3 linked regions of the Mus musculus genome follow. The protein of the gene in region 1 purifies or fractionates together with the protein of each later gene. This does not show direct contact. Links are inferred from orthologs where the notes say so. Each region holds a gene or a part of one and is shown on either strand. Other genes may lie near its edges.

Region 1 (3,735 bases):
CTCTACCCCCCCCCCACCCGCCCCCCAGATGTGGAACGTTACTCAGACAAGTATCAGATGTCTGGGCCTATTGACAACGCCATCGATTGGAACCCTGGTAAGTGACTGGCCCCTCCTCTCCGAATGCCCTCCTTTCAGATTCTTTAGGTACCTCAAACTGTCACCTTCCTTTCCTGTACATCTAAATCTAGAGTCTTAGATGTGCTCTGCAACACTCTCGCGTTCTACGTGGAAACCCTATTTGTAACAACAGTGCCCACCTCTCCAGAAGCGTCAAACCTACAATTTTATTCTGAAAAATCTTCAAACCAACCCCCATTCCGTCCTTCCTTTTAAACACTCCCCTCCCCCTTAGCGCCAGCCATCACTCCCAGAAGCCTCCAGCCGGCCAGGGTCCTGCTGATTTTCACTCCCACTCTTCCCAGATTGGCGGCGACTCCCCAGTGAGCTCAAGATTCGAGTGCGGAAAGTACAGAAGGAGCGTGAGTGGATCTGCAGGAGGATGAGGGCTTGTCAGCCGGTGCCACGGGGACCACAGGAGGGCAGCAGACCGCCACATTTTGCTGCCGGAGACCACACGAGGGCAGCAGAGTGCCGTGTTTGCTGCAAGAGGGTGGAGTAGGCTCAGCTAGGATGGAGGGAGAGATGGCTCAGCTGATAAGAGATGCCAGCCACCAATCCACAGGACCCACTGTTGGAAGGAAGAACTCATTCTAACTTCCGCGTGTGTGTCACACACACACGTACACACACACACAGACACACACACACCCCAAATTTAAAACCCCGAAAGAAAGCTAGTAGATGTACTAAGGCCTCTCACTTTTTGATCCTCCAAACAGGGACCACCATTATCCTTCCCAAGAGGCCCCCTAAGAGCACAGACGATAAGGAGGAGACGATACAGAAACTAGAGGTGAGGAGGAAGTGCGATAGACAGCTGGCCTCCCGGTCCCTTGGAGCCCCAGCTCTCCCTGCATTCTGTGAGTGAGTTTCTCTTCCTATTCATCCTCACATGAGACGCTAGAGAAGAAGGAGGAGGAAGTGACTTCGGAGGAGGATGAAGAGAAAGAAGAAGAGGAGGAGAAGGAAGAGGGGGAGGAAGAGGAATACGATGAAGAGGAGCATGAGGAGGTGAGGGGGCTTTGCTCCTCCCCACCCCACCCCTCCTTTCTCCCTTACAAGTTGTAGGCTCACAACTCTTTTTTTTTTTTTCTTTTCAAGATTTCTTGTTGTTGTTTTATTTTTGGTTTTGGTTTTGAGACAGGGTCTCCATTATGCAAGCCAGGCTGGCCAGGAACTCCCCAGAAGCCCCCCTGCTTCTATTTCCTGCTGTTGGGGTTACATATGAGTCTGCCTCCAGACTTAGCATACAAGACTCTGTATGATTGCATACCAAGCGTGTTCTGGTGCCTGAGGAGGCCTGAAGAGGGTCTCCAAACCCCTGAAGCTGGGCGTTACAAGCAGGTGTGAGCTGCCCAAGTTATCTGAACTCCGAAAGAGCAACAAAGGCCTTTAACATCCAAGCCATCTTTTATTACATGTGTGCATGAGTGTGTGTGTGTGTGTGTGTGTGTGAAATGTGTGGAGGTCAGAAGACAACTTGCAAGAGTTGGCTCTCTCTTTTCCCGTGTGGGGTCTGGTTATTGACCACAGGTCCTCTGGCTTAACAACAAAGGCCTTTTGTACTGAGCCATCTCACTAACCCTGGGCTCTCAACCCTTACACGGGAGACATTCTCAGAGAGTTGCAGTGCCACCAAAAGCCTTTCTCCAGTTCATCTATCCCTGACCTATCCTCAAAACACGGAACATGGCGGGTGATATGGCTCAGAGGGCAAAGGGGCTTGCTACCAAGCCTGATGACCTGAGTGCAGTCCCCAGAACCCACAGAGTGGAAGGACTGACCCCTGCAAGTTGTCCCCTGACTTCCACATGTGCACCAGGGCACACTTGGACACACACATATAACATACATATACAGGCAAACAAATACTTTAACTTGTATAACATGGAGCAGGAGTGACGACTCTTGGTTAAGAGCGCATGCTGCTCTTCCATAGGACTCGAGCTCCACTCTCAGCATCCACATGGTGGCTCACAACAACCGGTGACTCCAGTTCCCGGGCATCTGACGCCATTGTCTGGCCTCCGAGGGTTCTAGCACGAAAGCAGTATACACATACATGCAGTCAAAGCACCTATACGCATGAAAAGGAATGAATGTAACAGCAGGTAGAGGTGTCCCAGACCTGGAAAGGTGTGTGTGAGAAGAAAGAGCCTGGAGACAAAGAGAAGAAAACTCTGACATCACCCCTGATCTTTGCTTCTTTTTACATTTCAGGAAACTGATTACATCATGTCATATTTTGACAATGGAGAGGACTTTGGAGGGGACAGCGATGACAATATGGATGAGGCCATATACTGAAAAACCTGGGCATAGACTGAAAACCTGGGCCATAGACTGAAAACCTGGGCCCATATATCATTCTTGATTTGAGATACAGGAACTAAATATCCCTATGTACTTAGGGGTTTTCCTATTTTTGTTATTTGTTTTGTTTTGTTTTGGTTGGTTGGCTTGGTTTGTTTTTTCCAGACAGGTTTCTCTGTGTAGCCCTGGCTGTCCTGGAACTCACTCTGTAGACCAGGCTGGCCTCAAACTCAGAAATCCGCCTGCCTCTGCCTCTGCCTCTGCCTCCCAAGTGCTGGGATTAAAGGCATTCGCCACCATGCCCAGCTTTGTTATTGTTTTTTGAGAGAAGATCTCATGTAGCTCAAGCTGGCCTGGAACTCGGTATGTAGCTGAGGCTGGCCTTGAATTTTGGACCCCCCCCCACCCCCCCAAGCCTTGGGATTACAGGGACGCGCCACCACAGCAGACTTACTAGCATTTACTTCTGTTGAGAAAAAATTGGTTAGAATCCAGGTGACCTGTGTGATCCCTGGGGGCTGTGATGCGCAGCCGTTGACAGTTTAGGGGAGACTTGGGGTGGGAACAGTCAAGAGGAGTAAGGCCTGTTTTGTACTTTTAAATAAAATGTTTGTATCTGTCTAACATGTCTAACAGAGTGATGTGTACTGGGAAAGGGCCGGAGGCAAGGCTGAGGGGGTGTCCAGTCAAGCCATTCTTACCCCTGCCACGCCCCCTTTCAGAGGACTGAATTTACAGCCATGCAAATGCTAAACGGGTGTTCCATCACTCAGCCATGCCCCCATCTCTTTTTATATATTTGCTTTAGAATTTTTAGGCAGAGCTTTTGCTAAGTTGCCTAAGTTGGCTTTGAACTTAACCCTGTAGCCCAAACAGGCCTGAAACTGTCTCAGCCTCCCTAGCTGTGGTCCCAGGTCTGTGCCACCAGTGTCAAATCTCTGCGTGTCCAGTGTGACACGGGTGTGTGTGTGTGTGTGTGTGACCGCCTTGACCCTTGACCTTTACTTCTCAGCTCTCCCTTGGAGGACATTCAGGAACTCATCTGCAATGCTGTCTGAAAGCAGCGCTGGGGAAAGCATAGGCTCGCCCACAGACTACCCTAGCCTTTGGCCTCCAGCAGCACAGGGACATGAGCCTGCATAGTCAGGCACATTTACCAGGACACCAGCCCTCTCCTTTCTCACACTTGACCTTGATGGTGTCCTTATTTACAAAGAGTGATTGCAGCTATTTTTGTGCAGGGAGTCCAGAAAGCCAGGGGCCGGGAGAGAGGAGTGACTCACTGCTTTCAGCTTACCG
Region 2 (3,830 bases), on another chromosome or scaffold:
ACCCTCTTCTGGCTTCCAGGCGCACTTGTATGTGTGTACATTTACATACACAAACACACAGATAAAATAAACCTTAAACACACAGTCCCCGGACCAGAACAGTCCATGTGTACATGTAACTGGCGTGGTTCACAGAGAAGGAAACCACAGTGAAGGTGTCCTAGCAAACTGTGGGGACACATGGCACATGATTGGAGGCACAGAGTGACCCTCCAGAGTTTGGTTCCCTTGTTGAGATTTGCCGGCCCCTTGTCCGACACTGCTGAGACATGGGCTGTATCTCTGGTTCTGGCCGGTGATGCTCTAACCACCAGTTTCTTCTGGCAGTTTCGACGGCGACGACTTTGATGACGTTGAGGAGGACGAAGGACTTGACGACTTGGAAAATGCTGAGGAGGTCAGTAGCCAGCCTCGGCCTCTGCCCTGCAGCCCGGACAAGGGACGGGCAGCGTTCACCAAGGGCTTTCCCTGTTCACTTTCCAGGAATGCAATTCCATGGATCTGCTCCGGGCCTTTGTCTGAGTGCCACCTCAACTAGGTCTTGGGATAATCGTGTCGTCTTATGTATGGTTTGGTGGTGGTGGATCTTAGTATAGAGCCTGGAACTTACTATTTAAGCCAGACTGGCTTGTAGCTCACGAGAAATCAGCCTTCCTCTGCCACCTGAGTGCTAGGATTAAAGGCACAGGTAGAAGTAACTTTGGTCCGTTTTATTCACTACTGTATCCTAAATACGGTTCAGCATGTAGTAAGCACACAGCAAACAATTACTTTTTTTTTTTTATGTATTTTTATGCATGTGCACGTGTGCTGTATGCAGGCGCACTTACCTGTGCAATGCATGTGGAGGTCAGAGGTCATCCTCTCTCCTTCTCCATCTTATTTTTCAAGACAGGGTCTCTCTAAACTTGAGGCTCAGTGCTTCAATTAGGCTGTCAGCCAGCAAGCCCCAGAAACCCTTCTGACTCTACCACTAGTTCTGTGGCTATGCCTGTAGCACACTGCTACAGACCCAGACTTCTACATGGAGGCTAAGACCCAAATTTAGGTTCTCCAGTTTAGGTAGCAAGCAGGTTACTCTATGAGGCAAACCCTAACCCTTAAGTCTTGGTTTTAGAATCATGTAAACGGATCATGAGCTGCGCAGTTCTCTGGCAGCCGCCATTGCTATCAGAAACTCTTTGCTTTGTGTCAGATCACCATTATTCCTGTGTGCGTTTGTGCATGCGTGCTGCAGGGGATGAAACCCATGGTCTCGTGTGTTCTCTCTCTCTCTCTCTCTCTCTCTCTCTCTCTCTCTCTCTCTCTCTCTCTCTCTCTCTCTCTCTCTCTCGCCTAAATAGAGCAGAGGACAGCAGGTTCTTGCTCAGTATGTGTTTGACTCTCATTTACCATGACTGTTCTAGTCACCTGACCCAGTGACTCATTTGCCATATGAAAGAGCAGGTGTTTGTCCTGAGCTTCCGGTTCAGGGTGTGCTCACCACTTACAGGGCCAGCTGTTTGGGCAAGGCGGCTGGCTCTAGAGTTCTGAACACCGTCATCTTTACTGCTAGCTTGGAGGTTTTGGTCAGGTTGGCTGACTCTTGAAGCCCCTGGATTGGGGACCACAATCCTTACCTTACAAGGTTGCATGCGGTTAAGGATTGCGTGGTGTCAGTGAGTGGTTGCACGGTCCATGACATCCAGAAAGGGTTGAGGGTGGTGGGAAGTCTCTGTGTCATCATCGTCCTACCTGATCCAAAACTTGCCCTGAGATTTCCCCTCTTTGTTTGCTTGCTATCCAGGAGGGCCAGGAAAATGTCGAGATTCTCCCATCTGGTGAGCGACCACAGGCCAACCAGAAGCGGATCACCACTCCTTACATGACCAAGTATGAGCGGGCCCGGGTGCTGGGCACCCGGGCTCTTCAGATCGCGTAAGTGCTGCCCTTTGGCCGTCGTGTCTGTCAGTTCACCACAGTGAGCCCAAGCTGCTGGTCCTGCCCAGCCCTGGTGTGTCAGGACTTGTGCAGTGCTTTAGGGCACCTGTGGGAAAATGTAAGAAGTGACATGAGAAGTGACAGTAAGAACCCTGGTCAGCCGGGCGTGGTGGCGCACGCCTTTAATCCCAGCACTCGGGAGGCAGGGGCAGGCGGGTTTCTGAGTTCAAGGCCAGCCTGGTCTACAAAGTGAGTTTTAGGACAGCCAGGGCTATACAGAGAAACCGTGTCTCGAAAAACAAAAAACAAACAACAACAAAACAAACAAACAAAAAAGACACAGGAGGATCATGGGTTCACGGGCCTACCTGGACTACCGAGTGAGTTCTAGGCTAGTCTGGGCAACTAGCAAGACGCTGCCCCAAGATAAAGAATGAAAAGAGGTCTGGGGTGGAGCCCAGTACATGTGATTACCTGAGTTCAGAGAATTCCTGTCAGTTGGTCAAACAAAATAAGAGTGAATTCAGGCAAGGCTGCAACAGCTCCTTCTAGCTTACGCTGATGGGAGGGAGGCTGGCCAGCCCAGCCCAGTAAGCAGGCCCCTCACTTGGGAAAGTCTGGAGCAACGGTGGCTCTGGGCGCTAGGAAACTGAAGAGCATGTTGTTTTTCTAAATTTGGATGGCCGGCCAGTGAGCTCAGCCCATCCAGAGGAGGCAGGGTGTTAGTGGAACTCTAGTGGGAGACCCAAGCCTAAGGGAAACTGTTGGTATGGGGCGCGTGGGTGCTGCAGGATGGACTAGGGAGAAGGAAAAACACAGCAACAGCAGAACATTCTCCCATGGGGCTGGGGAGGCCTGCATAGGGCTGTGAGCATCCCTACCACGGGTTCATACAGCCCTGGGTAAAGTTGACTGCAGTGTCTGCCTCGGTAAAGGGTCTTATGTACAGTCAAGGTTGACCTCAGCCATCCTCAGCTATAGACCTTTCTTCAGCCTGGCTGCACTCTTGGCTCCTTGAGTAAAGCCACCTTCAGGGGGATATGTGGTCCTAGTGGCCTAAGGATAGTCTCTGTTATGGCACTCATTGGCTACATGTGGCCATTAAATCAGCCCTGTGAGGCAGTGCACACCTTTAACCCCAGCACTCAGGAACCAGAGGTGTGTTGATCTCTGTGACTCCAAGGCCAACCTGGTCTACATAAGGAGTTCCAGGAGAGCCTTGACTACACAGTGAGGCACCATCTCAAAAACAATAACAGTAAACCCCAAACAACCACCACTACAACAAAAAACACCTACCCAAACAAAGGAAAAGAAAGCACGCACACATACATACACACACACACCAATACTAGAGATACCTCAGATGCTCAGGGGCCTGTCTGTGGCTCCCAGTTAGCACGGGGACATCACAGGTACAAGACATTTCCAGTTTGCTGAGTGTTCTGGGACACATGTTCCTTTAGCTAAGATTGCCCTGTAGCAGGAAGCCTTCATTGTGCAAATCTAGCAGTGCTCACCACTGCACCTGTCGAGGATGCAGAGGTGATGAAGACATCACCTCTAGCTCCCCAGGGAGCTTCTGATGTAAAGGCAGTGTGGGCAGTGCCCTGCAAAGGATACAGAAAAGCAGGCGCCTCGCGGAGGGGCTAGAGCTAGGAGGCAGATGCAGGGCAGTGGTTTTGCACGTGTCCCTGGTGCTGAAAGCTATGGGTGGGTACAGCCTAAAGGCAAGCTTGCAGCACAAAGAAGGCAAAAATGTTACTAAAGGGGACCAGCAAGATGGCTGAGCTGGTCGAGATGCCTCATTTACAGGAACCCGCGTGGTGGAAGCAGAGAACTGATTTCTTCATGCTATAGCATGCATGTGCTCACACATGTACAGACCTGAACACACAGAGTAGAGTCTG
Region 3 (3,830 bases), on another chromosome or scaffold:
TGGGCTGCAAGAGACTCTGAAAACAAACGCTTCTCGTGTTTTGTAATATGCTAGCCTATGCTACCTGGGTACTCTGGCAACAAGAGGGCCATATCCAGATGCCCTTTGACCTTGGACCGGAACCAGGAGTCAAGATAAGCCTCTTTTTCTTGTCACTCACCCAGGCTATAGAGTTGTGGGTTTTGCCACAGAAATTGGACTAATTTCTTTGTATGTGTGTGACATGCATGCACATTAGGTGTGTACACCAGGCTAGGCTCAGATTGGAGTTTTCTCTTATCTCCTATTCCGCCAAGGACATTCCTCTACAGTGAGCTAAGCTCTGGGTCATTTCCCCTAGAGCAGCTGTGTGCAGCTCTGAGAGCTGGTGACCATCTGAGTCCGTTCTCCCAGCTCCATTCTACCCAGCAGTGCCTGACATTGCCTACAACAGTCATCAAAGCGCCTGACGAGCTCCCACTGTGTGCATGTGCGGCACAGGCCACACAAGCCTTTCTACCCCAGACAGCTGCAGTCCTGCTCCCCCATCTTAGCCCCTGCCCTGCTCTGACCCCAAAGCACAAAGATTTCTTTTCATCTTATTTTTGTGATTTTTTTCCCCCAACAAATCCTGAGATCAGGCATACTGAGAGAGGGGGTCAGGCCAAATAAAGAGTTCTCTGAACATCCAGGAAATGGCTGCTGCAGCTTTGAGCTTCACGAACAACTTGGCCAGCTGCACATCTATGCTGGCTCCTCCTCTTCCATAGCCACGTCATTGCTAGTGCTTTTGCTCTGTTCATCCTCTGGACCTGCAGGCAGAATGCTAGTGACAGTGTGCAGGAGGGCTTCGATCTGCTCCTCTGTGAGCCGTTCTTCACTCTCTTCTACCATCTACAAGGGAAAGGAAGCCTGTCAGGAGTTAGGAAGTGAGTCTCCCATCACAGCCCACCCGGGCCATGCAGTCCACAGCGCCAGCCCAGCACTTGGTCCTGAGCCAGCCAGGGCCTCATCTAAGATCCACAGTAGGATGACACCAGGCCAAATCCCAGACCAAGCCAGAGCAGGCACACAAAAAAGCAGATTGTCTGTCCATCCGTCCATCTATCTGTCCCTCCCTCCCTCCCCCACCCCCTCTGGAGATTGGTAGTCCTGGCTGTCCTGGAACTCACTATGTAGAGCAGGCTGGTCCAACACACAAAAATCTGCCTGCCTCTGTGTCCTCAGCGCTGGAATTAGGGTTATGTACCAACACCACGCCCAGCTTGGTTTTTTTTTTTTAATTAAGGAAAATCCTAACCTATTTCCATTCCCATCCATCCATGAATATGTTGGATGTGCAAAGAAATTCACCTTTAGGGGGTGGCAGGGCCCTAGATAAACTCGTGGACTTCACAACAAGCACCTCTGTCACTGGAGTGGTGTCGCCCAATCACTTGACGCTGCTTTCCTGAGCAGCACGGTCTCTATCCCCGGCCGATGCACAGATTCTACCTTGCCTTAGTTCTCCTTACCCTGCCACTCACCAGAACTCTGTAGGGGCCTCCTGTGGGACTGTAGGCACACTAGGAATTTTACAAGCATGACATCTTACAACTTTCACTACAATCCTAGCAAGAGGCATTCCCAGGCGGAAAGCCTCCCAGCTAACACATGCCACATTGTTTGGATCTTAAACGCCCCTCAAATGCTGTGTGTGGAAGGTTTGGTCCCCAGCCTATGGCACTACTGGGAGACGGAAGACCTGTTAATAGGTGGGGCTTAGAGGAGGATTCAGATACGGGGGTGCTGGAACCCTGGTCTTTTTTCCCTTTGCTCCTAGTTTCTCAAGATGAACAGTTCATAGCATGATCATTGTCACAGGCCCACAGCAACAGGCCATGTGTACTTGGACTGAGTCTGAAACCATGAGGCAAAATAAACCTTTCTTCTTTGTAAGCTGATTGTCTCAGGTATGTTGTTAGAGCAAGAGAGAGCCAGCTAACACATAGTCCCACTTGTCTCCGAAGAATCCAGAACAGGAGTCTGACGAGTAGGAAAAGAGAAGCTGAAGAGAAGACAGCTCAGTGCTTAAGAGCACTGGTTGCTGTTGCAGAGGACCTGGGTGGGGTTCCCAGAACCAATAACAGCTCCTAACCACCTGCAACTCCAGTTCCAAGGAATCCAACAGCCTCCTCTGGCCTCTGCAGGCCACATGTACACTCATGCAGACACACACACAAGACACAGGTACACATACACATAAATAGAAAATACTCTTTATAATTTTTAATTTATTTGTATTTTAATTAATTAACTTATTTAATTTTATTTTAATTTATGTGTATGAGCATTTTGCCTACATGTGTACTACTTGTGTGTCTGATGCCTCCTAAGACCAGAAGAGCATATCAGATTCCTTACAACTGAAGTTAAAGATAGTTGTGAGCCACATGAGTGCTGGGAAAGCATGAGTGCCGGCACTCTAGCAACTGAGCTACATCTTTAGCCCAAGTAAAACCTCTTCACTGAACGAGAGCCAATTTTTAGAAGGAATGGCTGGAAGGGGCAGCAGGAGACCAAGTCCCAAGGGGACCATCCCTCCTGGCACACCCCCATTCCTTTGTGTCCCCCCACAGACATGCTATCTACCAGGGACCCCACAGCCACTACACTTGGCTAGGTCAAAGACTAGAGCAACGGTAACTAAGAACAGAACACCCACAAGACAAAGGCAAGACCCAATATCTACACCAAGAAGCATCGGCAGCGACATGACTCCATATACATGAACAACCAAGACAATGTGCCTCCTCCCGAAGGCAGCAACAGGTCTAGGGAAAGCAATGTCACTGAAGCACAAGACAAAGACTTCAGAACAAGGATAAATATGTTCAAGGCCCTTAAAGAGGATGTGAATTAATGTCTTAGTGAAGACCGTGAGAACACCCAGGTGACTGAAGTAATGACAACAATGTGGGATGTGGAAGTGGAATTTAATAAACAGATCCCTAGAGAGAAGCCAGACTCAAATAAAACCCAAAGCAAAAACTCAGGAAGTAAGCTGGGCGTGGTGGTGCACGCCTTTAATCCCAGCACTCGGGAGGCAGAGGCAGGTGGATTTCTGAGTTCGAGGCCACCCTGGTCTACAGAGTGAGTTCCAGGACAGCCAGGGCTACACAGAGAAACCCTGTCTCAAAAACCCAAAAAGACATGGAGACAGAGTTTCAGGTTTTGAAGACAAGATAAAAGAAATGGGTAGCTCAATCAAAAAAGTTAAATCTAAAAAAATTTTTAATTTAAAATCTAGGCATTAAACATCCAGGAAATCTGGAACATTATGAAACCCAAAATCTACAAATAATAAGTATAAAGGCCCAGAAAATTATTTTAACAAAATTATAGAAGAAAAATTCCCCAGTCTAAAGAAAGAGACACCTATCAGGTACAAAAGGCATACAGAACAAAGAAAGGATATTGAAAGCTGTGAGGGAAAAGACCAAGTTCCATATAAGGGCAAACCCATAAGAACGTCCCATTCCATATTTCAAGTTGTATTACAGTTATAACAATAAAAACAGGCTGGGGACATGGCTCAGCGGTTAAGAGCACTGGTTGCTCTTCCAGAGGTCCTGAGTTCAATTCCCAGCAACCACATGGTGGCTCCCAACCATCTATAATAAGATCTGGTGCCCTGTTCTGGCATGGAGGCAGAACACTGTATACATAATAAATCTTTTTTTAAAAAACGAACAAACAAACAAACAAACAAACAACACTGTGATTCAGAAGTATATCTTTAAAAAACATGTCAAAAGAAAGTATGTCTTTAAAAAAACCAGCATGGTATTGACATAAAAACATACATGCTC

What was found. The genes of interacting proteins can lie anywhere in the genome.
Region 2: the proteins of Polr3gl (region 1) and Polr2f purify together in Homo sapiens (affinity purification with mass spectrometry; 3 studies listed by BioGRID and IntAct, with this or other methods). This does not show direct contact. The link is inferred for Mus musculus from reciprocal best matches to the Homo sapiens genes POLR3GL and POLR2F.
Region 3: the proteins of Polr3gl (region 1) and Crcp purify together in Homo sapiens (co-immunoprecipitation; 3 studies listed by BioGRID and IntAct, counting the BioPlex papers as one, with this or other methods). This does not show direct contact. The link is inferred for Mus musculus from reciprocal best matches to the Homo sapiens genes POLR3GL and CRCP.

Annotation. Positions count from the first base shown.
Region 1 is NC_000069.6:96,577,197-96,580,931, reverse strand, and holds the end of Polr3gl (DNA-directed RNA polymerase III subunit RPC7-like), read left to right. Parts: intron 1-28; coding exon 29-97; intron 98-425; coding exon 426-482; intron 483-842; coding exon 843-916; intron 917-1,020; coding exon 1,021-1,134; intron 1,135-2,343; coding exon 2,344-2,430; 3' UTR 2,431-3,060; downstream 3,061-3,735. UniProt on the Homo sapiens protein: DNA-dependent RNA polymerase catalyzes the transcription of DNA into RNA using the four ribonucleoside triphosphates as substrates. Specific peripheric component of RNA polymerase III which synthesizes small RNAs, such as 5S rRNA and tRNAs.
Region 2 is NC_000081.6:79,144,267-79,148,096, forward strand, and holds part of Polr2f (DNA-directed RNA polymerases I, II, and III subunit RPABC2), read left to right. Parts: intron 1-327; coding exon 328-397; intron 398-1,786; coding exon 1,787-1,917; intron 1,918-3,830. UniProt on the Homo sapiens protein: DNA-dependent RNA polymerase catalyzes the transcription of DNA into RNA using the four ribonucleoside triphosphates as substrates.
Region 3 is NC_000071.6:130,056,748-130,060,577, reverse strand, and holds part of Crcp (DNA-directed RNA polymerase III subunit RPC9), read right to left. Parts: intron 874-3,830; coding exon 724-873; 3' UTR 1-723. UniProt on the Homo sapiens protein: DNA-dependent RNA polymerase catalyzes the transcription of DNA into RNA using the four ribonucleoside triphosphates as substrates.